7 linked regions of the Macaca mulatta genome follow. The protein of the gene in region 7 purifies or fractionates together with the protein of the main gene of each other region. This does not show direct contact. Links are inferred from orthologs where the notes say so. Each region holds a gene or a part of one and is shown on either strand. Other genes may lie near its edges. The genes, in order: ANAPC4, EP300, RBL1, TRMT61B, PPP1R3F, KIAA0232 and DYRK1A.

Evidence for each region.
Region 1: the proteins of DYRK1A (region 7) and ANAPC4 purify together in Homo sapiens (affinity purification with mass spectrometry; 3 studies listed by BioGRID and IntAct, with this or other methods). This does not show direct contact. The link is inferred for Macaca mulatta from reciprocal best matches to the Homo sapiens genes DYRK1A and ANAPC4.
Region 2: the proteins of DYRK1A (region 7) and EP300 purify together in Homo sapiens (affinity purification with mass spectrometry; 4 studies listed by BioGRID and IntAct, with this or other methods). This does not show direct contact. The link is inferred for Macaca mulatta from reciprocal best matches to the Homo sapiens genes DYRK1A and EP300.
Region 3: the proteins of DYRK1A (region 7) and RBL1 purify together in Homo sapiens (affinity purification with mass spectrometry; 3 studies listed by BioGRID and IntAct, with this or other methods). This does not show direct contact. The link is inferred for Macaca mulatta from reciprocal best matches to the Homo sapiens genes DYRK1A and RBL1.
Region 4: the proteins of DYRK1A (region 7) and TRMT61B purify together in Homo sapiens (affinity purification with mass spectrometry, with the first as the bait; 3 studies listed by BioGRID). This does not show direct contact. The link is inferred for Macaca mulatta from reciprocal best matches to the Homo sapiens genes DYRK1A and TRMT61B.
Region 5: the proteins of DYRK1A (region 7) and PPP1R3F purify together in Homo sapiens (affinity purification with mass spectrometry; 3 studies listed by BioGRID and IntAct, with this or other methods). This does not show direct contact. The link is inferred for Macaca mulatta from reciprocal best matches to the Homo sapiens genes DYRK1A and PPP1R3F.
Region 6: the proteins of DYRK1A (region 7) and KIAA0232 purify together in Homo sapiens (affinity purification with mass spectrometry; 3 studies listed by BioGRID and IntAct, with this or other methods). This does not show direct contact. The link is inferred for Macaca mulatta from reciprocal best matches to the Homo sapiens genes DYRK1A and KIAA0232.

Annotation. Positions count from the first base shown.
Region 1 is NC_133410.1:24,433,668-24,437,502, forward strand, and holds the end of ANAPC4 (anaphase-promoting complex subunit 4), read left to right. Parts: intron 1-341; coding exon 342-416; intron 417-1,311; coding exon 1,312-1,485; intron 1,486-2,496; coding exon 2,497-2,620; intron 2,621-3,032; coding exon 3,033-3,260; 3' UTR 3,261-3,335; downstream 3,336-3,835. UniProt on the Homo sapiens protein: Component of the anaphase promoting complex/cyclosome (APC/C), a cell cycle-regulated E3 ubiquitin ligase that controls progression through mitosis and the G1 phase of the cell cycle.
Region 2 is NC_133415.1:10,362,740-10,366,239, reverse strand, and holds part of EP300 (histone acetyltransferase p300), read left to right. Parts: intron 1-1,720; coding exon 1,721-1,900; intron 1,901-2,090; coding exon 2,091-2,235; intron 2,236-3,500. UniProt on the Homo sapiens protein: Functions as a histone acetyltransferase and regulates transcription via chromatin remodeling. Acetylates all four core histones in nucleosomes. Histone acetylation gives an epigenetic tag for transcriptional activation.
Region 3 is NC_133415.1:89,931,709-89,935,208, forward strand, and holds part of RBL1 (retinoblastoma-like protein 1), read right to left. Parts: intron 310-3,500; coding exon 109-309; intron 1-108. UniProt on the Homo sapiens protein: Key regulator of entry into cell division. Directly involved in heterochromatin formation by maintaining overall chromatin structure and, in particular, that of constitutive heterochromatin by stabilizing histone methylation.
Region 4 is NC_133418.1:96,108,020-96,111,519, reverse strand, and holds part of TRMT61B (tRNA (adenine(58)-N(1))-methyltransferase, mitochondrial), read right to left. Parts: intron 1,302-3,500; coding exon 1,199-1,301; intron 1-1,198.
Region 5 is NC_133426.1:49,355,546-49,359,045, forward strand, and holds part of PPP1R3F (protein phosphatase 1 regulatory subunit 3F), read left to right. Parts: intron 1-1,997; coding exon 1,998-2,053; intron 2,054-2,577; coding exon 2,578-2,660; intron 2,661-3,500.
Region 6 is NC_133410.1:6,174,698-6,178,197, reverse strand, and holds part of KIAA0232 (uncharacterized protein KIAA0232 homolog), read left to right. Parts: intron 1-1,094; coding exon 1,095-3,500.
Region 7 is NC_133408.1:9,954,260-9,956,515, reverse strand, and holds the end of DYRK1A (dual specificity tyrosine-phosphorylation-regulated kinase 1A), read left to right. Parts: intron 1-721; coding exon 722-1,342; 3' UTR 1,343-1,756; downstream 1,757-2,256. UniProt on the Homo sapiens protein: Dual-specificity kinase which possesses both serine/threonine and tyrosine kinase activities. Exhibits a substrate preference for proline at position P+1 and arginine at position P-3.

The sequences.
Region 1 (3,835 bases), on a different chromosome or scaffold from region 7:
AGAAGTTCTGAAAAATAAATCATATTTAGAATGCCATTGGTATCTTAAAAATGATTTTAAATCCGAATTTGAAGAAAATGTTGAGACCAAGATGTAACCAAAAAGAAAGAATTTGGTTATTTCTATTCCAAATGCCAAATGTCTTTGGATAAATCTGTTTACTTTGGTGACTGTATGATTTTAAACCAAGTTGGTTTATCTGTCTAGGCGTTTAAACCAGTTCTCAGTGTTCTAGAGAAGTAAATGTACTGACCCTGACAATCATGTTCTTTTAAGTGTTTGGATTATTGACTATCCAGGTTGTTCCACTGAGTCTTTTTTTCCCCCCTTCTTTCTTGGAGATCCGTGAGTAATGGACTAATTGCTATTAAATTTGGGAGCTTTACATATGCCACAACGGAGAAAGTCAGAAGAAGGTAAGTCTTGAATCTTGTTTGAGTGATGTGTGTATATGTTTAGGAATCGGGCCAGATCGGTTACGGTGATAATATAGGTAAAAGGGCTTTGTCACTTCCCACATCGAGGGCAGGATTCTTTGTGTATTTATACATAGAGAATGATTTGACTTGTGATTGAATAGAACCTTACTGCCCTGCAGTTTATGTCATATGGTTTCGTATAATTACTCCCGAGCTCCCTGTTGACAAAGAAAGTAATGTGGTTCCCGTGGGCAGATGGCCTGCGGGACTGAAGTTCTTGTTATGACCAAAAAAATTATGAGGTGATGCCATTCTCAGTGATGGGAGATTTTCTTAGGATTCAAAAGGGTAACAGTACCTAAGCCATCCCTGAGACTTCGCAAGGGAAAGAAGTGACTAATCATAGGCTGATCTTTTTCTCACTTGTTTCCTCACATAAAAGAAGTTTTTTTAATGATAAAGTCTTTGGAGTTGCTGTGCCTATTTTTCATGTGTAGTATCTTATTTTTATTTCTCAGTCTAGTCAACTCTGTTTGCTGAACATGTATATAAGGTGTCATTCATAGAATTTCCACAGGTTTAATTTGTATGTCATTCATAGAATTTCTTAAGGCCTAACCATCGATGGCCAGGGGTTTTCTAGAACTGAAACAACTTCACAGATTTTGGGGGGTCATGATTACCCATTTCTAAGATTTGGTTATATATGTGAATAATCAGTACAAAAAATAACTGATTTTAATACAAACCAATGGTATATTTTAAATGTTACTGTACAGAATGTCACTTAATTTTAAAATTTTTTTCTGCTTGCTGCCAGTATGACATGCATACAGTATTTTCTCAGTAGTCATGATCATCTTTGATATAACGAAACTTATTTTAATTCTAGCATCTACAGTTGTTTAGATGCACAGTTTTATGATGATGAAACTGTAACAGTAGTTCTCAAAGACACTGTAGGACGTGAAGGAAGAGATAGACTCTTGGTCCAGCTGCCATTGTCTTTAGTATATAACAGTGAAGATTCTGCAGAATATCAGTTCACTGGGACTTATTCTACAAGGTAACTGGTAAAATTGTCTTTTTGATATTACAGTTAAATATTTTTTAATGCACATTGTAAATTCCAACCTTTCAGGCATGCTAGATAATGGTTATTTCATTACTAGGGGTAACCACAGAGGTAGCTGAGCAGAAGTGCTCCAATTTTTCATTCAAAATATGCTGGCCTTAATAGCTTTTTTTATCCCTTCGCTTTACTAGTAAATCAGGAAGTATTTGCTGGAATCAAGGTGGGGAATTATTTGGAGTGGAGAATGGGACTTCTTTTAGTTACGTTTTCAAGGATTGCATTAACCCTAGTTGGTTGGAATTAGTTATTTTTGATTTGCCTTCAGTATTTTCCTTCCAGAATTAAGACCTCAGTGCCCATGTGGGAAGTATACTGTCAATTCCAAGAGATGGCTTTAACTGAGACTTAAGTAAGCAGATCTCTAATTTAAAAATGTATCCATTTGCTTTCCTTGAAAGGGAGTCAGAAACCTTGCTAAAATGATATTCTGCCTATTTGGAATTGCAGTATTTTCTTTTTTTTTTTTTGAAACAGAGCTTGTGTCTGTCACCCAGGTTGGAGTGCAGTGATGCAATCATAGCTCATTGCAGCCTCAAACTCATGGGCTCAAGTGACCCTCCTGCCTCAGCCTCTCATAGCTGGGACTACAGGCATGTGTCACCTTGTCTGGCTAATTTTATTTTATTTTTTACAGAGATGGAGTCTCACTCTGTTGGCCAGGCTGGCCTTGAACTCCTGGACTCAAGCAGTCCTCCCACCTTGGCCTTGCAAAGTGCTGAGATTCCAGGCATGAGCCACTGTGCCCAGCCAGAATATAGAATATGGAATTTTTATAGAATATTATATCACAGCTCTTTTTTTAATACAACAGTTGCTAAAATTATATTGGAAGTGGAAGTATGAGTAGAAGTCAAAGCCATAATTGACCCTAATACCACCTGTAGCAAACTAGGGAGGAGAAGATCCCCTTTTCATTCCTGGGTGGGTTTTTTCCCTCTTTAGGCTAGATGAACAATGTAGTGCTATTCCCACCCGTACCATGCATTTCGAGAAGCATTGGAGATTACTGGAAAGTATGAAAGCACAGTATGTTGCTGGGAATGGTTTTCGAAAAGTATCCTGTGTGGTAAGTGTTTACAGATCGTTCAGCAACTAAGAAATTACAAGAAGTAACATTGCTTCTTTGGAACCTTCATCAAATACATGACATGTAAGGTCCTTTTGTGCAAATATTTTTGCTGTGATTTATAGCTTGTATTGATTATGGTCATGTGGACTTAGCTATTCTCTCGTTCTGATAAAGCTTACTAAGCAGTTAATAATTCTAGATTTTAATCTCATGAAATTGCCACTGTTGTTATGTGGAGACCTTTTTATACAAAATGAAGGCTGAGTTTATTGATTTTGTTGTAAATTGATGGGAATATGTTTCCTATAAAACCATTCTTTGATTCAGACTTCTGATTTCTAATTCCTTATATATGATATATTAGTTAAGCCATTAATTTAAAAGTGCTTTTATGGCCTTTCTTTTTTAGTTAAGCTCAAATCTTCGTCATGTGAGAGTATTTGAAATGGACATAGATGATGAATGGGAGCTCGATGAGTCTTCAGATGAAGAGGAGGAGGCTGGTAATAAGCCTGTAAAAATAAAGGAAGAAGTGTTGTCGGAGTCAGAGACAGAGAACCAACAAGCTGGTGCTGCTGCTTTCGCTCCGGAGATAGTCATTAAAGTGGAAAAACTTGACCCTGAGCTAGACTCTTAATCTAGCTTGCCATTGTTGTGTGTGTAATTATGGCCAGAAGGACATAGGAGATGGACTAAGATGTCTTGGACCACCTTTAATTTTCTTTGTGTAACAAAGAAATAAACAGTAAATTTTATTTTTTCATATTCTGCTTCATCTTCTCTTAGTGATACAGTCACTCTGATACACTTTATTTTTTCTGAGATTTCTCTTTAATGCTATGTACAGAACTAGTGTTTAAAGAAAACAGGGCCAGGCATGGTGGCTCACACCTGTAATCTCAGCACTTTGGGAGTCTGGGTGGGTGGCTCACTTGAAGTCAGGAGTTCAAGACCAGCCTGGCCAACATGGCAAAACCCAACTCTACTAAAAATACAGAAATGAGCTGGGCGTGGTGCACACACCTGTAATTCCAGCCACTTGGTAGGCTGAGGCATGAGAATCGGTTGAACCCGGGAGCCAGAGGTTGCAGCGGGCTGAGATCATGCCATTGCACTCCATCCAGCCTGGGTGACAGAGTGAGACTGTGTCTCAAAAAAGAAAGAAAGTGAACAAATTGAATGTGAAGAAAAAGTCTAATATTTTCTGTCAGA
Region 2 (3,500 bases), on a different chromosome or scaffold from region 7:
CAGCCTGGCCAACGTGGTGGTCAGAGACAGGTCAACCCTGTCTCTACAAAAAAATAGAAATATTAGCCAGACGTGGTAGTGGGTACCTGGGAGGTGGAGGTTGCAGTGATCCAAGATCACGCCACTGCACTCCAGACTAGGTGACAGAGTGAGACTCTGTCTTTAAAGAAAAAAAAAATTGCAGATTTATGAGTCCCTGTGGCCCTAACCAAAGTTAAAAAATTATCTAAGATGAGAGAATTATATACCCAGAACAACCTGTAGCTTCCTTGTGAGAGGTTGGTTATGTATATAATAAAAATCCAAATTCTTATCTAATAGTTGAATCCTTATTAATATAACTTTTTTTAAGGGTTTAGAAGCTTCTACTTTGATATCGATACTAATATATTCTCAGTCACGTTGATGAACTGAGAAGTCCCATGAGTCACAGCCATTTTATAAAGTACTGTACTTGATGGACAACTGGTTCATCGTGGCCTCTGATAGACAAGGAGGGACAGAATGAGAGAGGAACCAGTGGATCTGCTTGATTTTATTCTTTATAAAATCAAAGTAGTTCCAGAAAATACTGACTTCTCATTAGGAGGTTTCTTATGACAAGCCTTAGGGAAAAGACAGAGAATGCCAGTTATCTCATTAGAATCTAGTGATTCCAAACAGCCACCCTGTGGGACATCATTATATTTATTGTCTCCTTTTCTGTATCTTTGAAATTTTCTCTGGTGAGAAGGTAAAAACAAAAAAGATAGCCAGTCTTGGCCGGGCGTGGTGGCTCAAGCCTGTAATCCCAGCACTTTGGGAAGCCGAGACGGGCGGATCACGAGGTCAGGAGTTCGAGACCATCCTGGCTAACACGGTGAAACCCCGTCTCTACTAAAAAATACAAAAAAAAACTAGCCGGGGCCGGGCGCGGTGGCTCAAGCCTGTAATCCCAGCACTTTGGGAGGCCGAGACGGGCGGATCACGAGGTCAGGAGATCAAGACCATCCTGGCTAACATGGTGAAACCCCGTCTCTACTAAAAAAATACAAAAAAAACTAGCCGGGCGAGATGGCGGGCGCCTATAGTCCCAGCTACTCGGGAGGCTGAGGCAGGAGAATGGCGTAAACCCGGGAGGCGGAGCTTGCAGTGAGCTGAGATCTGGCCACTGTACTCCAGCCTGGGCGACAGAGCGAGACTCCGTCTCAAAAAAAAAAAAAAAACCAGCCGGACGAGGTGGCAGGCGCCTGTAGTCCCGGCTACTCGGGAGGCTGAGGCAGGAGAATGGCATAAAAACCCGGGAGGCGGAGCTTGCAGTGAGCTGAGATCCGGCCACTGCACTCCACCCTGGGCGACACAGCGAGACTCCGTCTCAAAAAAAAAAAAAAAAAAAAGATAGCCAGTCTTTATTATTTTCTTTCACTCGCTTCTGTATAAATGTGAGCTCCTCTGAAGCAGACATCTTTGAAATCCCCACACACTGCCAGATAATGATAGTTATCAATGAAATAGTTGCTGGCTCTTTGATGTACAACCAGTATTTACAAGTCTTAATTCTCCTGTTCTTAAGTATAATTAAAGGAGGTGAAATGGGCAGAGCAAATGAAAACACCGTGAATGAATATAAGCCAAGAAATAGGTGGCTAATTCTGCTGTCTTGTTGCTTACCTTACATTCTGATTGTATCATTGGCAAACACTGTGTGTGTGTCACCCACTCCCCTTGTTTTTCTGCCCAGCTTTCCCAGCCAGCTGTAAGCATTGAAGGACAGGTGTCAAACCCTCCATCTACTAGTAGCGCAGAAGTGAATTCTCAGGCCATTCCTGAGAAGCAGCCTTCCCAGGAAGTGAAGATGGAGGCCAAAATGGAAGTGGATCAACCAGAACCAGCAGATACTCAACCGGAGGATATTTCAGAGGTGAGAGAGTAGGGCAATTACTGTTTGATTTGGTTAGGACCCCAGTCTAGGAACCCAGTTTTTAAAAAATATTACAGAAAAATACTTTGATAATTAGATCTCATGGCATAGATTTTGCATGAGAAAGGATGTTCAGACTACTGATTCCCAACTAGATATCTTTGGAATACTAAAAACTCTTACCTTTTAGTCTAAAGTGGAAGACTGTAAAATGGAACCTACAGAAACAGAAGAGAGAAGCACTGAGTTAAAAACTGAAATAAAAGAGGAGGAAGATCAGCCAAGTACTTCAGCTACCCAGTCATCTCCAGCTCCAGGACAGTCAAAGAAAAAGAGTGAGTCTCTTAAACCGTTTGTTCTGGAGATAACATGAAGAAACCAAAAACCCAGGGCAGAATTGCAATCATGCCTCTTAGGCCTCAGAAGTTGCCATTAATGTGATTTCATTAACCTTGAAGCCCTGGGCCTGGTCTCTTCATTGTTATTAATAATTTTTCTTTCTTCCTTTCTTTATTTTTTAATATTCACTTGCAGCAACCAATGAGTTAGTCGTTCCCCTCATTTCTTCAGGGTTCCGTGTGTTAGTATCCCCTAAAAATTTTCTTATTTTTCAAGAGAGAAATGTTTGTAAATAGCCTTGACTAAAATGCAGGAAAGAATAGCAATAATAATAGTATTTGTCATTCACCTCCTGTGTGCTGAGTACCCACATTGTCTCATTTAATAATTTCTTTCTTTGTCTTTTTTTTTTTTTTTTTTTTTTTTTTTTGGTTGGATTCGGAGTCTCGCTGCATCGCCAGGCTGGAGTGCAGTGGCACGATCTCAGCTCACTGCAAGCTCCACCTCCCAGGTTCACGCCATTCTCCTGCCTCAGCCTTCCGAGTAGCTGGGACTACAGGCGCCCGTCACCACGCCCGGCTAATTTTTTTTGAATTTTTAGTAGAGACAGGGTTTCACTGTGTTAGCCAGGATGGTTTCGATCTCCTGATCTCGTGATCCCCCTGTCTCGGCCTCCCAATAGTGCTGGGATTACAGGCGTGAGCCACCGCGCCCTGCCTTTTTTTTTTTTTTTTTGAGGCGGAGTCTCGCTCTGTCACCCAGGAGGGAGTGCGGTGGCACGATCTCGGCTCATTGCAAGCTCTGCCTCCTGGGTTCATGCCATTCTCCTGCCTCAGTCTTCTGAGTAGTTGGGATTACAGGCGCCCGCCACCACGCCCAGCTAATTTTTTATATTTTTGGTAAAGATGGGGTTTCACTGTGTTAGCCAGGATGGTCTCCATCTCCTGACCTCATGATCCGCCTGCCTCAGCCTCCCAGGGTGCTGGGATTACAGGCATGAGCCACCATGCCCAGCCGTCTCTTAAACTTAAACCTAACATTCGTCATTAAAATAGTACGTGTCTCTTTTTCTTTGGGTCTAAAATACCAAGCAGTTTAATGAAGGAGTCTTCTGTTGTGTGCCCCTGACTCCTTGTAGTATAAGACAATACCAGATCTAGTCTAGTCCCTGACTTATTAAATACTGATGTCATGAAGAAAGACTTTTCCTTTCTTGCTTGACTGCATCTCCCTCTAAACATGAGTATCTTGTATCTTGTGA
Region 3 (3,500 bases), on a different chromosome or scaffold from region 7:
AAGCTCTTTGCAGGAATACTTTTCATAAAAAACAGACTTTCGAAAAAGTACATTCTCTTAGTTTGTATCATAATCTTTTTGTCAATTATGTAAGGATTAAGGGCTCACCTCTGCTTCCGGCTTCGCAGTAACTTTGGTGGTTCTTCATATGGATTTTGAAATATATCTAAAAAAATTGGCTCATATTTTTTGAATATTACAGTAGACACCTCAAAATTTCTCTCTAGCCTTTCTATACGTTCACGAAATTCTTGTGGTAGATTTGACATGTCCATCCACTTCTTCATTTTACTAAAAAATTGTATTAAACTAAAAAAAAAAAAGGGAGGAGAAAAAAGTCATCTTTAAAATTCATTTATATAACGGATTGAAAGGAAATATTCTATTCACGACTAAGATTCTTTATTAAAAAGCCAGACCTCCCAGGCAACATAGTAAGACCCCAACTCTACAAAAATTAAAAAAATTATCTGGGTGTGGTGGCACGTGCCTGTAGCTCCAGTTACTCCGGAGGCTGAGGTGGGAGAATTGCTTGAGTCTAGGATGTCGAGGCTGCAGTGAGCCTCGATCATGCACTCCAGCCTGGGTCACAAAGCAAGACACTGTCTCACATGAACAAAGAACAAACACCATCCCTCAAGCCTAAATTTAATTAAAAAAAAATCCTCATTATGAAACCACTTTGGTTCCCAGGATCACCAGGAGAATACAGGTTATTAATTAGTGGTCATCACATAGAGCCTTACTTCTATGGAGGGAGCAAGAGCGCCTATCTACTTCCTTTATTCTCTATATTACCTAGACAGTATTCTGCATAAAATTTACAAAGTTAATGTTAGTTAACAGATTGATAGGTTATAAAATTAGTTTGAGGAAAAACAGAAGTCTCCCAAATGGAAAGACAATTTCATTTTCCAAATGGGAATTTGATTATGAAGCACCAGATTGTTATAGGTTAGGAGTAAAACTCAAGAGTTTGAGTTCCAATGCGTGGTTCCACCACCAAAAGTAAAGGTAGCACATACTCAGAAAAAAACTTAATAGCTCTGCTGCCCAGGCTGGAGTGCAGTGGCACCATCTTGGTTCACTGCAACTTCCACCTCCTGTGTTCAGGCAAGCCACCGCGCCCAGCCCAATTCTGGGTATATTTTTTTATGTCTGTATGTTAGTGTGGTCTTAGATAGAAAACTTGCAATGTCAAAGCTCACTTAATTAAAGGTCTAGCAATATACACAGAATAATACTTGTAATTTTTTTTTTTTTTTTTTTGAGATGGAGTCTCACTCTGTTACCCAGGCTGGAGTGTAGTGGCATGATCTTGGCTCACTGCAACCTCTGCCTCCCAGCTTCAAGCAATTTTCCTGCCTCCACCTCCTGAAAGCTGGGACTACAGGCACGCACCACCATGCCCGGCTAATTTTTGTATTTTTAGTAGACGAAGTTTCACCATGTTGGCCAGGATGGTCTTGAACTCCTGACCTCAGATGATCCAACTGCCTCAGCCTCCCAAAGTGCTGGGATTACAGGCGTGAGCCACTGCACTCGGCCCTATGTTCTGATTATTTCATGTATATTGGAAAGGCTTACTTAAGTCCATTTTGCCCAGCCAATACTTATAATTTCTTTTTAAGGTGACAGAAGACATTAACAGAAAATTATCCAATGCTATGTAATATGGTTTGGATGTTTTGTCCCCTCCAAATCTCATGTTGCAATGTAATTTCCTTGGCTGGGCATGGTAGCTCATGCCTGTAATCCCAACACTTTGGGAGGGTGAGGCTGGAGGATCATCTGAGTCCACCAGTTTGAGACCAGCTTGGGCAACACAGTGAGACCTCGTCCCTACAAAAAATGTAAAAGTTAAGGCCGGGCGCGGTGGCTCAAGCCTGTAATCCCAGCACTTTGGGAGGCCGAGACGGGTGGATCACGAGGTCAGGAGATCGAGACCATCCTGGCTAACACGGTGAAACCCCTCTCTACTAAGAAATACAAAAAACTAGCCGGGCGAGGTGGCGGGCGCCTGTAGTCCCAGCTACTCAGGAGGCTGAGGCCGGAGAATGGCATGAACCCGGGAGGCGGAGCTTGCAGTGAGCTGAGATCCGGCCACTGCACTCCAGCCTGGGCTACAGAGCGAGACTCCGTCTCAAAAAAAAAAAAAAAAAAAAAAAAAAAAAAAAAAAAAAAGTAAAAGTTAGCAAAACATGGTGGTGTGTGCCTGTGGGCCCAGCTACTCAGGGAGCTGAGGCAGGAGGATCACTTGAGCCTGAGGGGTTGAAGCTGCAGTGAGTCATGAACATGCTATTGCCTGGGCAAGAGAGTAAAAGACTTTCAAAAAAATAAAAAAGAGGCCGGGCGCGGTGGCTCACGCCTGTAATCCCAGCACTTTGGGAGGCCGAGGTGGGTGGATCACGAGGTCAGGAGATTGAGACCATCCTGGCTAACAAGGTGAAACTCTGTTTCTACTAAAAATTAGCTGGGCATGGTGGCGTGAGCCTATAGTCCCAGCTACTCAGGAGGCTGAGGCAGGATAATGGCGTGAACCCAGGAGGCGGAGGTTGCAGTGAGCCGAGATTGTGCCACTGCACTCCAGCCTGGGCGACAGAGCAAGACTCCGTCTCAAAAAAATAAATAAATAAAAATAAAATAAAATAGAATAAAAAAGAAAAGTGACCTCCAATGTTGGAGGTGGGCCTAGTGGGAGGTGTCTGGGTCATCAGAGCAGATCCCTCATGAATGGCTTGGTGCTGTCCTCATGGTAATGAGTTTAGTTGTCACTCACCTGAGATCTGGCTGTTTAAAAGTGTGGCACTTCCCACCCTCAATTGCTCCTGCTCTCATCATGCAATGTGCCTCCTCCCCCTTCACCTTCCACCATGACTGTAAACTTCCTGAGGCCCTCACCAGGAGCAGATGCCAGCCCCATGCTTCCTACACGGCCTGCAGAACCCTGGGCCAATTAAATTTCTTTTTTTAAATAAGTCACTCAGCCTCAGGTATTCCTTCATAGCAATGTAAAATGTCCTAATACAGCATTCAAACTCCGGACATGCTGATTAAAATCTGACACTCTTAAGAACCTCATTAAAAGATTCTTATCAATAGCAGCAAAACATTCGTCAGATTACTAAACATTTTTTTGGCTTACAAAAAATTATGCTCCCTTACAAAGGACTTCAAAAATGTTGTTTTTTGGCCAGTGCAGTGGCTCACACCTGTAATCCCAGCACTTTGGGAGGCCAAGGCAGGTGGATGACCTGAGTTCAGGAGCTTGAGACCAGCCTGACCAACATGGAGAAACCCTGTCTCTACTAAAAACACAAAATTAGCCAGGCGTGGTGGCGCATGCCTGTAGTCCCAGCTACTCGGGAGGCTGAGACAGGAGAATTGCTTGAACCTGGGAGGCGAAGTTGCGGTGAGCCGAGATCGCACCATTGCACTCCAGCCTGGGCAACAAGAGCGAAACTCCATCTTAAAAAAAAAAAAATTGTTTTTATATTTGG
Region 4 (3,500 bases), on a different chromosome or scaffold from region 7:
AATTTCAGCATATTTCTGTCTGTAATCTTTATAAAATCTACTCAAAGAAAGTACTGTGACTATTCAACAGTTTATCATTATGTAGGGAAGAGAACACTGTACAGACAGTCAGACCACCCAAAACAACCCTGACACTCAGAGAAATTAGGTAGGCAAAGGGGTACTAATCAACTAGCATAAAAGTAACCAGAAATTAAGTGGTAGGAACATGAAAAAATGTATGTTTAATATACACCTCTTGATTTTTGATCAGACACCCACCTTCAAGCAGTACTTTTATCAACTGACAATTTTTAGAGACTTTCTGGAAAAAAAAGAGATAATTCTTCATAATGTAGCTTTTTACTTAACAGCTCTGTACTATGATTAATTTCTTTATGAACACCTACTATAATTCTTTGGTCCTAACGATGTCTAACTCTCCCCCCAGCAGCTGACAACCTCCTTCCATATTCCCTCAGGCTAAGTATTCATCTGGCACTATTATTCAACAATAACATGACAAGTACACAAGGAGGTTCCGAGCAGCACTATTTATAATATCCAACTCAAATGTCTATCAACAGTAAATGGGTAAATTGTGAAGAGAGTACTATACAGCAACTAAAATGAAAGAACTACTGCTGTATGCAATGAGTGAATCTCACAAACATAATGATGAACAAGAGTAGCCAGATACAAAGGAGTACATACTGTATGATTCCATTTATATAAGTTCAAAGGAGGCAAAACTAATCAGTGGTGATAAAAGTCACAATAGTGGTTTCCTTTGGTGATGATAAGGACTGGGAGGGGACATGAGGAGGCATCTGTGGGGCAGAGACACTCCTTACCTTGATCTGGGGAATAAGTACGAGTGGTCACTATACAAAGATTCGCTGAGGTATACACTTGCGATCTGCACACTTGTCTGTAGCTATGTTATATTCCAATAAAACGTATACTTAAGAAAAAAGCAGCAGCATTAGAGAGCATGAAGGAAACAAGACAAAGCAAAGAAAATGGAGGGAGGATCAGAAAGAGACTGACTGGAATAAATGTACAAAATGGAAAGAAAAATAGGTGCTCACATTCAGATTCTAGGAGAATGCTACCTCAATGTTAGGTATTTTCCCAAATATCCTCATAACTTTCTGTTATTATGAACAAATTGAACGTTTTCTTTGTTACCGAGATCCAGCTCAGTCCAATCTCTTACCTGCTTTGGATAAAAATAAGCTCATTCCACCAGAGCCTGAGCCAGCTTCCAAAACAGTATCACCTGGGCTGATATCCATCATCAAGAGAATCATACTAATATCCTATGATTGAAAACAGTATGGGTGACTCAGCGACCAATAAATATGTACTAAGCGCCTAGTCTTATCTTACACTGTCGAGTATGGAGAAGGGAGTGAAAAAACGAATCAGACTCTGGACCTGCCTACAGGCACTCTGCCTACAGAGTTTATATTTCACTTGATGAAATAAGAGAGATCCAAGAATCAGTTAACAAATAAGGCAACACTTCAGAATAATACCAAAATTACAGACAATATAAGTTCTTAGAACAGCAGGATGGCCTAGTTTAAAGACAAAGAGTAGACAATTTATGGGAACAATCACAAGGTAAAAACAGCTTTAAACAAAGCAGAGGTAGAATAAATACAGTTTGTTATCTCAGGAGAGATACGCAGAGAACTAAATGCCAGTATGAGGCATTAGAACTCGGCCTGATAAGCAACCAGGGTGTGTCACCAAGGTGATATAAATGGCATTTTATGAGGATTAATCTGGCAGAAGAATACAGGATCTACTGGAGAAAAATCAAGAGGCAGGAAGACCAGTTAGGAATTTACTATATAATCTCTGCATAAAATGATGAACTTCTTTTTTTTTTGGAGACGAAGTCTCGCTCTTGTCCCCCAGGCTGGAGTACGATGGCGTGATCTTGGCTCACTGCAACCTCCCGGGTTCAAGCGATTCTCCTGCCTCAGCCTCCCGAACAGCTGGGATTACAGGTGCCTGCCACCATGCCCGGCTAATTTTTGTATTTTTAGTAGAGACGGGGTTTCCCCATGTTGGCCAGGCTGGTCTTGAACTCCTGACCTCGGGTGATCCGCTCGCCTTGGCCTCCCAAAGTGCTGGGATTACTGGCGTAAACCACCCTGCCCAGCCCAAAATGATGAACTTATTTATTTTTTTTGGGACAGAGTCTCGCTCTGTCACCCAGGCTGGAGTGCAGTGGTGCAATCTCGGCTCACAGTAACCTCCGCCTCCTGGGTTCAAGCGATTCTCCTGCCTCAGCCTTCCAAATAGCTAGGATTACAGGCACCTGCCACCATGCCCAGCTAATTTTTTATATTTTTAGGAGAGATGGGGTTTCACCATGTTGGCCAGGCTGGTCTCAAACTCCTGATTTCAGGTGATCTGCCGGCCTCAGCCTTCCAAAGTGCTGGGATTACAGTCGTGAGCCAACGTGCCCGACCAAATGATGAGCTTCTCATTTAGAATTAAGATACTGTGTAACAGTGGTCCCCAACCTTTTGGGCACCAGGGACCCATTTCGTGGAAGACAATTTTTCTACAGATTGGGGAGAGGGTGATGGTTTTGGGATGAAACTGTTCCACCTCAGATTATCAGGCATTAGTCAGTCTCTTATAAGGGGCATGCAACCTACATCTGGCGCATGCGCAGTTCACAGGAGTTTGCACTCCTATGAGAATCTAATGCCATGGCTGAGCTGACAAGAGATGGAGCTCAGGCAGTAATGCTCACTACCACCGCTAACCTGCTGTGTGGTCTGGTTCCCTGTTACAGGCCATGCACTGGTACCAGTCCTCAGCCTGGGGGTAGGGGAGCTCTGCTATATAAGGAAAAAAAGGGACTATGCTAGAAATAGATTGGAGGACCCATTTGCCAAACATATAATTGGAATTGTTTTTGTTAACACAACACGAATGTTATGGATGACATTAATAAAAACTGGTTTTTTTTTAAATTTATTAAACAAATTTTTTTGGTGAAAGGGTCTCACCCTGTCGCTCAGACTGGAGTGTAGTAGTGCAACAGTAGCTCACTGCAGCCTCGAACTTCTGGGCTCAAGCCATCCTCCCACCTCAGCCTCCAAAGTAGCTGGGACCACAGGCATGTACCACCATGCCCAACTAATTTTTTTCTATTTTTTATAAAGATGGGGTCCTGCTAGGTTGGCCAGGTTAGCCTTGACCCTAGCCTCCAGGAGTCCTACTGCCTTGGCCTCACAAAGCACTGAGATTACAGGTGCGAGTGACTGCACCTGCCCCCTCACCTTTTTTTTGAGACAGGGTCTTACACTGTTCCCTAGGCTGGAGTGCAGTGGCAAGATCATGGCTCACTGCAGCCTCAAACTCCTGGGCTCAAGCCATCCTCCCATTTCAGCCTCCTGTGTAGCTGGGATCACAAGTGTGTGCCATCATACCTGGCTAATTTTTTATTTTTTGTAGAGACAAGGTCTCCCTGTGTTGCCCTAACTGGTCTC
Region 5 (3,500 bases), on a different chromosome or scaffold from region 7:
ACATTGGGAGGCCGAGGAGGGTGGATCACCTGAGGTCAGGAGTTTGAGACCAGCCTGGCCAACATGGTGAAACCCCGTCTCTATTAAAAATATAAAAATTAGCTGGCTGTGATGGTGGGTACCTGTAATCCCAGCTACTTGAGAGGCTGAGGTAGGAGAATCACTTGAACCTGGGAGGCGGAGGTTGCAGTGAGGTGAGATCACGCCATTGCACTCCAGCCTGGCGACAAAACGAGACTCCATCTCAAAAAAAAAAAAAAAAAGTTTCATCCATTGCCAGAAGTATCAAGAACGTCACATTGCCTCTTAGGAAGAAAAAGGTGTAGGCAGTCGCCCCAGCTCCTCTCAGGTCTCTGAACATGTTTTAGTCAATGCTTCCCTCATTTGCCTTAATCTGTAGACACTTGATACTCATTTTCAGAATAAGAACAGTGACTTCTCCATGATGAGATCCCACCCCTGGGAGGACCCACCTGAAATTTACTTGGCTTATGCCACTCAGGGATCTGACTGGCCTGGCGAAGGAGGAAGAAGACCCATAAATATCTACAGTTGATTCAATCCCTGCTGTGTGTCAGGCCCTGATTTCTACCTGTCCGTCCTCATTCCTCTTGACTGCCTTGTGCTTAGTGCACATCCTGACTCCCCGCGGCTCTGTTTTATGTTTTATGAGTGAGGAGGTGAAGTGACCTGCCAGGCTGATATGGGGATGGGAGGGCTAGCATAGGGACCCAGGCCTCTGTGACCTCCCTCGCAGTCTCCATTTGCATTCCTCTGCCTCACAATCTTGTCCGCCTGCCCTTAGAAAAGGTTTTTATTTATTTATTTTTTATTTATTTATTTTTGTGAGATGATCTCTCACTCTGTTGTCCAGGCTGGAGTGCAGTGGTGCGATCTCAGTTCACTGCACTCTCCACCTCTCAGGTTCAAGCGATTCTCCTGCCTCAGCCTCCCAAGTAGTTGGAATTACAGGTGCCCACCACCACGCCCAGCTAATTTTTATATTTTTAGTAGAGACGGAGTTTCACCATGTTGGTCAGGCTGGTCTTGAACTCCTGACCTCAGGTGTTCCACCTGCCTCGGCCTCTCAAAGTGCTGGGATTACAGATGTGAGCCACTGCGCCTGGCCTTTTTTGTTTGTTTGATTTTTGAGACTGAGTTTCACTCTTGTCCCCCAGGCTGGAGTGCAATGGCGCGATCTTGGCTCGCTGAAACCTCTGCCTCCCAGGTTCAAACGATTCTCCTGCCTTGGCCTCCCAACTAGTTGGGACTATGGGTGTGCACCGCCATGCGTGGCTAATTTTTTGTATTTTTGGTAGAGACAGGGTTTCATCATGTTGGCCAGGCTGGTCTTGAACTCCTTGAACTCCTAACCTCAAGTGATCTGCCTGCCTTGGCCTCCCAAAGTGCTGGAATTACAGGTGTAAGCCACCACGCCCAGCCAAAAAGATGGGTTCTTCTATCTTTTCTCTTTCCACAGCCAGGAATATATCCTAAAGAAATGATACAAGTGTCGATAAAACTATGCCCAATGCTGTTTGCTGGTTTGCTTTGCGACCTCTAAATGAAAGAACCTAGCTGCTCAGTAGGAAGGGGATGGTATGATATGAGTATTAAGCAGCCATTTGAAATGTTTGCAAAAGTATATAATGATGTTTCTTACTGTTAAATGGACAAAGCTAGCTGTGAAATTATATCTGTAGAATCTAAATGATTTCATAGAATATCTGGAAGGAAATTTTCCAGAGTGGTAACAGTAGTTGTCTCTGGCTGATGTGTGATTGTTTTTCTTGCTTCTTTAGACTTTTCTGTATTTTGTGAATTTTCTATAAGGAGGCTGTAGGACTTTTAGGATGAGGGGATAACCAAAGGCAGCAGAAGAGAAAACAGCAGCTGTCAGGTGAAGGTGGGCTAGCACAGAGGCTCAGAAGGTGCCAGTGGGTGGCAGAAGTGACCTCTCAGGGTATTAGATCCATGTACTCTCTTCTGCCCCACAGGCCTGCTGAGGAGGAACTGAAGACGAAGAACATGGATGATAACACCCCTGCCGTGGGTAAGCAATTGGCCAGCTTCGGAAGTTTTAGCTTGTATTTACCATGTCTTTCTTCCTACTGTTTTTCTTTCTATAAAAATGAAAAAGGCTGGGCTCAGTGGCTCATGCCTGTAATCGCAGCACTTTGGGAGGCTGAGGCAGGAGGATTGCTTGAGGCCAGGAGTTCAAGAGGAGCCTGGGCAACATAGTGAGACCTCATCTCTTAAAAAAAAAAGAAAAAACAAGACGGGCATGCTGGAATGCACCCGTAGTCCCTGCTACTGGGGAGGCTGAGGTGGGAGGATCATTTGAGCCCAGGAGGTTGACGCTGCAGTGAGTCATGATTGTGCCACTGCACCCCAGCCTTGGTGACACAGCGAGACCCTATCTCAAAAAAAAAAATGAAGGGGCACCCTCTGCTTTAGATTGTCACAGAAAGCTTCAGAGGCAAAACTGCCAGTTGGCTAGGATGGCAGATTTTCTTAACAAAACCATACCTACTTATATGCCTGTCTTGCCCAATGCTGCCTTTCTCTTCCCTCTAGCAGAACATCCTGATGTCCAGGAGTCAGTGGGTCCACTGGTGGCCCCCACCCCTCTCCGTCCGTGGCCCCAGATGACACTTCAGGTAAGTGGGTCCTTGCAGCCTTGGAGTGGACAGCCCAATAGGAGGCTCACAGTGTAACTATTGCTGGGCTGGGTGGTGGGGCCCACTAGTTCTGGGTCCTCTCTGGGTTAGAGGGAGGGCACAAAACTCAGAACCCGATGGGGGAGGGGGAGAATGCAGTTACTCACCTGGGCTTGTAGAAATGTCATTTGTTAATTTAGCAAAAATTTATGGAGTGCTTGCTCTGTGCCAAGCACTGTTACAGACGTGAAAAATGCTCTTCGAGGGGGCTTATGTGTTAGTAGGGTGAGACATGATAAAATAATAGAATGTATGGTACTTTAGGTGATGATGAGTGATAAGGAAAAATATAAAGGAATAGGGAGTGGGTGAGAGACTGTGTGTGTGTGTTGTTGGGTGGGGGGGTTGCAACTTTAGATTGGGTGGCCTGGGAAGGCTTTAGTGATTAGTGAGATCTGAGCGAAGATCTGAGGAAGGTGAGAGAGTGAGCCACGTGGATAACTAAGGGAAGAACATCCCAGGTGAGTGTGAAGTTCCTGAGGTGAGGCCATGACTAACGTGTGTGAGGGACAGTGTAGAAGCCAGTGCAGCGGGGGCAGAACGAGGGAGGGGGAGAGTGGTGCGGGGTGAGGGCAGAGAGGTGGCTGAGGACAGATTGGGTGGCACCTCACAGGCCATGGTGAGGACTTTGGCTTTTACTCCGAGTGAGGGGGAGCTGCAAGAGCATTGTGGACGGAGGAGGGACGTGATCTGATTTAGGATTTAACAGCCTCCCTCTGGCTGCTGCTTGGAAAATAGACTGTCAGAGCGAGGGTGGAAACTGGCGACCTGTGAAGGGGA
Region 6 (3,500 bases), on a different chromosome or scaffold from region 7:
CTTCCTTTCGCAGTCTGTTCTGCTCTGAAATCTTCGGTGGCTCCCAGTTTCCTAGCAAATCAAAAACACTTTCTCATTTTCAAGCCCCCTGAAACCAGCCTCCCTGGCTTTTTGTACCCTGCGTTTCTAGTGATCGCTGCTCTAATTAGTTCTCCATTCTGTGAGCATAACGTGTGCCTTCGTGTCCTCACACAGGTTCTCAGGCCTCACAGGTAGTACTCACTAAACTTGCGGAATAAATCTGGAATTCCAACGCTTAGTTGTGGCCCACTTTAACTGTTTTAGACCTCACCAATATCCTCTTTCTGAATACTTGAATGTGGTCATTCCTACCGTTTCTGAGGGCCTGCTTCAATGCCAGGCAGTATGCTAGCGGTTAAAAAGCTGCTTTTCCGACTCATTTTGCATATTAATTCCTTTACTCCTCAGAACTCTGAGAGGTAAATATTACTAGCTCTATTTTTTAGGTGAGGAAACTGAGCTATGGAGAGGTTAAGTAACATGCCAAAGGTCACACAGCTAGTAAAGTAGGCAGAGCCAGGATTTGACCTCAGAGAATGTGGCTTTAGAGCTCATACTCTTGACTGATTTGCTACTGAGCTTTTCAACTGCATATATTTTCAATGCTCACAGTAACTTCATGAGGTAAGTCATAGGATCACCATTTTGCAGTTGAAGAAATAGTCCAAAGCAGTAAATAATGAGCTTAAAGTCGCAAGCAATAGTGACTTAGCTGAGATTCAAATTCAGATACTGCTTACTGAAGAGACTGCATTCTTTCTTCTGTTATTTGTCCTTTTTGACTTCTTAATTAAAACGCAAACTTTGAAGATAAAAACTATCATCTTACATATTTTCTCAGTATTCTTAACAGTGCGTATCACAGTGCTGAGCAAAATGGTGCTTGATGCATGGGACTAATCTGAAGCATATTTTACTGTATTATAAATTATTGTAAAGTTAATGATTCTTGGATGATGTGAATGTTGACACTGCTAAAATGAAATATTCCATTATTTTGGATGGTAGTGTTGTTTTACTGTAACTAAAAAATCTGTATACTCATTTTTTGAACTCTTTACTCTGTTTTTTAGGTACTACGAAGCATTTCCACCGCTTTCTGAGAAACCAGTTTGCCTGCAAGAAATCATGACGGTGTGGAACAAGTCTAAAGTCTGTTCTTACTCTAGCTCTTCTTCATCATCCACAGCCCCACCAGCTAGCACAGATACTTCCTCTCCTAAGGACTGCAACAGTGAAAGTGAAGTCACCAAGGAAAGAAGCAGTGAAGTGCCCACCACTGTGCATGAGAAAACCCAGAGCAAAAGTAAAAACGAGAAGGAAAGCAAATTTAGTAATGGCACAATTGAAGAAAAGCCTGCTTTGTACAAAAAGCAAATCCGACATAAACCTGAAGGAAAGATTCGCCCTCGCTCATGGTCTTCTGGCTCCAGTGAAGCAGGCTCAAGTTCCAGTGGGAATCAGGGAGAATTAAAAGCATCCATGAAGTATGTTAAAGTAAGACACAAGGCACGAGAGATTCGAAACAAAAAAGGGCGGAATGGGCAAAGCAGGCTTTCTTTGAAGCATGGTGAAAAGGCTGAAAGAAACATGCATACTGGAAGTAGTAGCAGTAGCAGCAGTGGTTCTGTCAAACAGCTGTGCAAGCGGGGTAAGAGACCTTTAAAAGAAATAGGGAGAAAAGATCCTGGGAGCACTGAAGGAAAAGACCTGTACATGGAGAACAGAAACGACACAGAGTATAAAGAGGAGCCCTTGTGGTACACCGAGCCAATTGCTGAATATTTTGTTCCTCTGAGCAGAAAAAGTAAACTAGAGACCACATACCGAAACAGACAAGACACAAGTGATCTGACATCAGAGGCAGTGGAAGAATTGTCTGAATCAGTGCACGGTCTTTGTATCAGCAACAATAATCTTCATAAAACATACCTCGCAGCAGGTACTTTCATTGATGGTCATTTTGTAGAAATGCCTGCAGTTATAAATGAGGATATTGACCTCACTGGGACCTCATTATGTTCTCTACCAGAGGACAATAAATACCTGGATGATATTCATCTATCAGAATTAACGCACTTCTATGAAGTGGATATTGATCAATCCATGTTGGATCCTGGTGCCTCAGAAACAATGCAAGGAGAAAGTCGGATTTTGAATATGATTCGACAAAAAAGCAAAGAGAACACAGATTTTGAGGCAGAATGTTGCATAGTGTTAGATGGTATGGAGTTGCAAGGGGAACGTGCAATATGGACAGATTCTACCAGCTCCGTGGGTGCTGAGGGCTTATTCCTGCAGGACCTTGGCAATCTGGCTCAGTTTTGGGAGTGCTGTTCATCCAGCTCTGGTGATGCGGATGGGGAGAGTTTTGGAGGAGACTCTCCAGTTAGACTCTCTCCCATCTTAGACAGCACAGTGCTCAATTCACACCTGCTTGCTGGCAATCAAGAGCTCTTTTCAGATATTAATGAAGGATCTGGTATAAACTCTTGTTTTTCAGTGTTTGAAGTGCAATGCAGTAATTCTGTTTTACCATTTTCTTTTGAAACACTCAACTTGGGAAATGAAAATACAGATTCTAGTGCTAATATGCTTGGGAAAACACAGTCTAGATTGCTAATATGGACCAAAAATAGTGCCTTTGAAGAAAATGAACACTGTTCTAATCTTTCAACAAGAACTTGTAGTCCATGGTCCCATTCAGAAGAAACACGTTCAGACAATGAAACATTAAATATTCAGTTTGAAGAATCCACACAGTTTAATGCCGAAGATATTAATTATGTAGTTCCTAGAGTCTCATCAAATTATGTAGATGAAGAACTTCTAGATTTTTTGCAAGATGAAACTTGCCAGCAAAACAGTAGAACTTTAGGTGAGATTCCTGCATTAGTTTTCAAAAAAACATCTAAACTAGAATCCGTCTGTGGTATTCAGCTAGAACAAAAAACAGAAAACAAAAATTTTGAAACTACACAAGTGTGTAACGAAAGTCCACATGGAGATGGCTACAGCTCAGGGGTTATTAAAGACATTTGGACAAAGATGGCAGACACAAATTCTATGGCCACAGTAGAAATAGAAAGAACTGATGCTGAGTTGTTTTCGGCAGATGTAAATAACTACTGCTGCTGTCTAGATGCTGAAGCTGAACTGGAGACCCTTCAGGAGCCTGATAAGGCTGTGCGAAGGTCAGAGTACCATCTGTGGGAGGGACAGAAAGAGAGCCTGGAGAAAAGAGCATTTGCTTCTAGTGAGCTATCCAACGTGGATGGTGGTGATTATACAACACCCTCTAAACCCTGGGATGTAGCCCAAGATAAAGAGAACACATTCATTCTTGGAGGAGTTTATGGAGAACTCAAAACCTTTAACAGTGATGGGGAATGGGCAGTCGTACCACCCAGCCACACAAAAGGAAGCTTGTTACAGTGTGCAGCTTCTGATGTAGTGACGATAGCTGGTACAGATGTCTT
Region 7 (2,256 bases):
AGAAGTGGGCATTGGCCAGGTGATGCAGACCGTTGTATCCATTTGGGATTGTTTTGTTTTTCTAAGTGCAGTGAGAAGTCATTAAAGGATTTTAAATAAGTGATTGGATTTGTGTTACGAAAAGATTGTTCCTGCTACCCTTTGGAGAAGGGCAAGGATGGAAGCAAGGAGTTCATTTAGGGGGCTGTTGTGTTAGCCTAGGCAAGAGGAGATGGTGGGGATGAAGAGAAGAGGCCAAATTTGGCATCTGTTTCATAGGTGGCCGCGTAAGTTCTTGCTCATGGGTTGGACAGAGGCATCGTTAAGCAGCTGGGTGTAGATAGTAGTCCTTTATTGAAAGAAGAAAGATGGAGAGAGGAAGGACATGAGGGATAAGTAAAGACTTCCTTTTGGACCTGCCTAGAATACTATCTGGCCTTTTTCGGGGAATATTTGCAGACCCCTAGCATAAACAGTGCTCCCAAGGTAAGACAGTGGCTAGTGAAATAGATGAACCTATTTAAGGATATAACTTTCTACAAATTGCAGCTTTCATGATGAAATTTTTTTGCCCTTGAATGTATTTGGGATGTTGTGTTATAAAACTGTCTAACACATTAAAAGTTTCAAAAACACTTAACCCGTGATTAATGTAATGCTAGTTTATGTCATCGCTTTTGATGGAAGATTAAAGCTTGGAAACAGTCCTCTGAAAAATCCTTTAAAACATCTGTTCTTTCAGGTGCGTCAGCAATTTCCTGCTCCTCTTGGTTGGTCAGGCACTGAAGCTCCTACACAGGTCACTGTTGAAACTCATCCTGTTCAAGAAACAACCTTTCATGTAGCCCCTCAACAGAATGCATTGCATCATCACCATGGTAACAGTTCCCATCACCATCACCACCACCACCACCATCACCACCACCATGGACAACAAGCCTTGGGTAACCGGACCAGGCCAAGGGTCTACAATTCTCCAACGAATAGCTCCTCTACCCAAGATTCTATGGAGGTTGGCCACAGTCACCACTCCATGACATCCCTGTCTTCCTCAACGACTTCTTCCTCGACATCTTCCTCCTCTACTGGTAATCAAGGCAATCAGGCCTACCAGAATCGCCCAGTGGCTGCTAATACCTTGGACTTTGGACAGAATGGAGCTATGGACGTTAATTTGACCGTCTACTCCAATCCCCGCCAAGAGACTGGCATAGCTGGACATCCAACTTACCAATTTTCTGCTAATACAGGTCCTGCACATTACATGACTGAAGGACATCTGACAATGAGGCAAGGGGCTGATAGAGAAGAGTCCCCCATGACAGGAGTTTGTGTGCAACAGAGTCCTGTAGCTAGCTCGTGACTACATTGAAACTTGAGTTTGTTTCTTGTGTGTTTTTATAGAAGTGGTGTTTTTTTTCCAAAAACAAAGTGCAAAGCTGCTTGAATCAGAAGGAGATTAACACACTGAACCGCTACAAGAGGGCAAAGCTGACTTTTTTTTTTTTTAACTTGAAAAGATTGCAAAGGGACATTGAAGTGTTTAAAAGAGCCATGTCCAAACCCATCTTCATGGATAGCTCAGAGGTATCCTCTTTTTGCTCCCCCATTTTAACTTGCCACATCCCAGTCATAGTGGGTTTTTTTTGTCTTTCTATTCAGCAAAAATATTCAGATGTTGGTCTTGGTCATCTGCCAACTAATTTTAAAATAAAAGGCACTGCACATAATTTGCATAAAGGGCCCATGAGGGTGTTTTTTTTTCTTTTTGTCCCCCCCACTATTTTTTTGTTCTGTTTTGTTTTGGGTGGGAGGGTGGGAAATTTGGGTTTTTAAGTCCTCTAAACACACTTGGGCACGGAAATGCAGTACTGTAAGGAAGAGGGACCTCCAGCTTCCACAAACACCATCTTCAGCTGTATGAAAGGGACGGTTGTGTTGAAGTTTGTCAGGCACAGTAAGCATGCTGAGTGGCGGGGATCAGAACTCTCCTATCTGAACCTACTGAGGATCAAAGCAGCAATTACATGGGATCCTGTGGCTCTCCTGTTGTAGAGGCCACAGGAAGATAGGATGGAACGTGACTGGTCTCCTAACCAAGGTGCACTGAGAAGCAATCAACGGGTCAGTCGTGGCCAGTCCTGGGGAGGTCTGAGTGGTGGTCTTTGGGATAACCTTTGGCCTTATGGATTTGGACTCGAAATTAGAAGAGCCTACCATTTCAGATGCAATCACTTTTGGACATGCTTTTGCAGACAGTCCTTAATGCTGAAAACA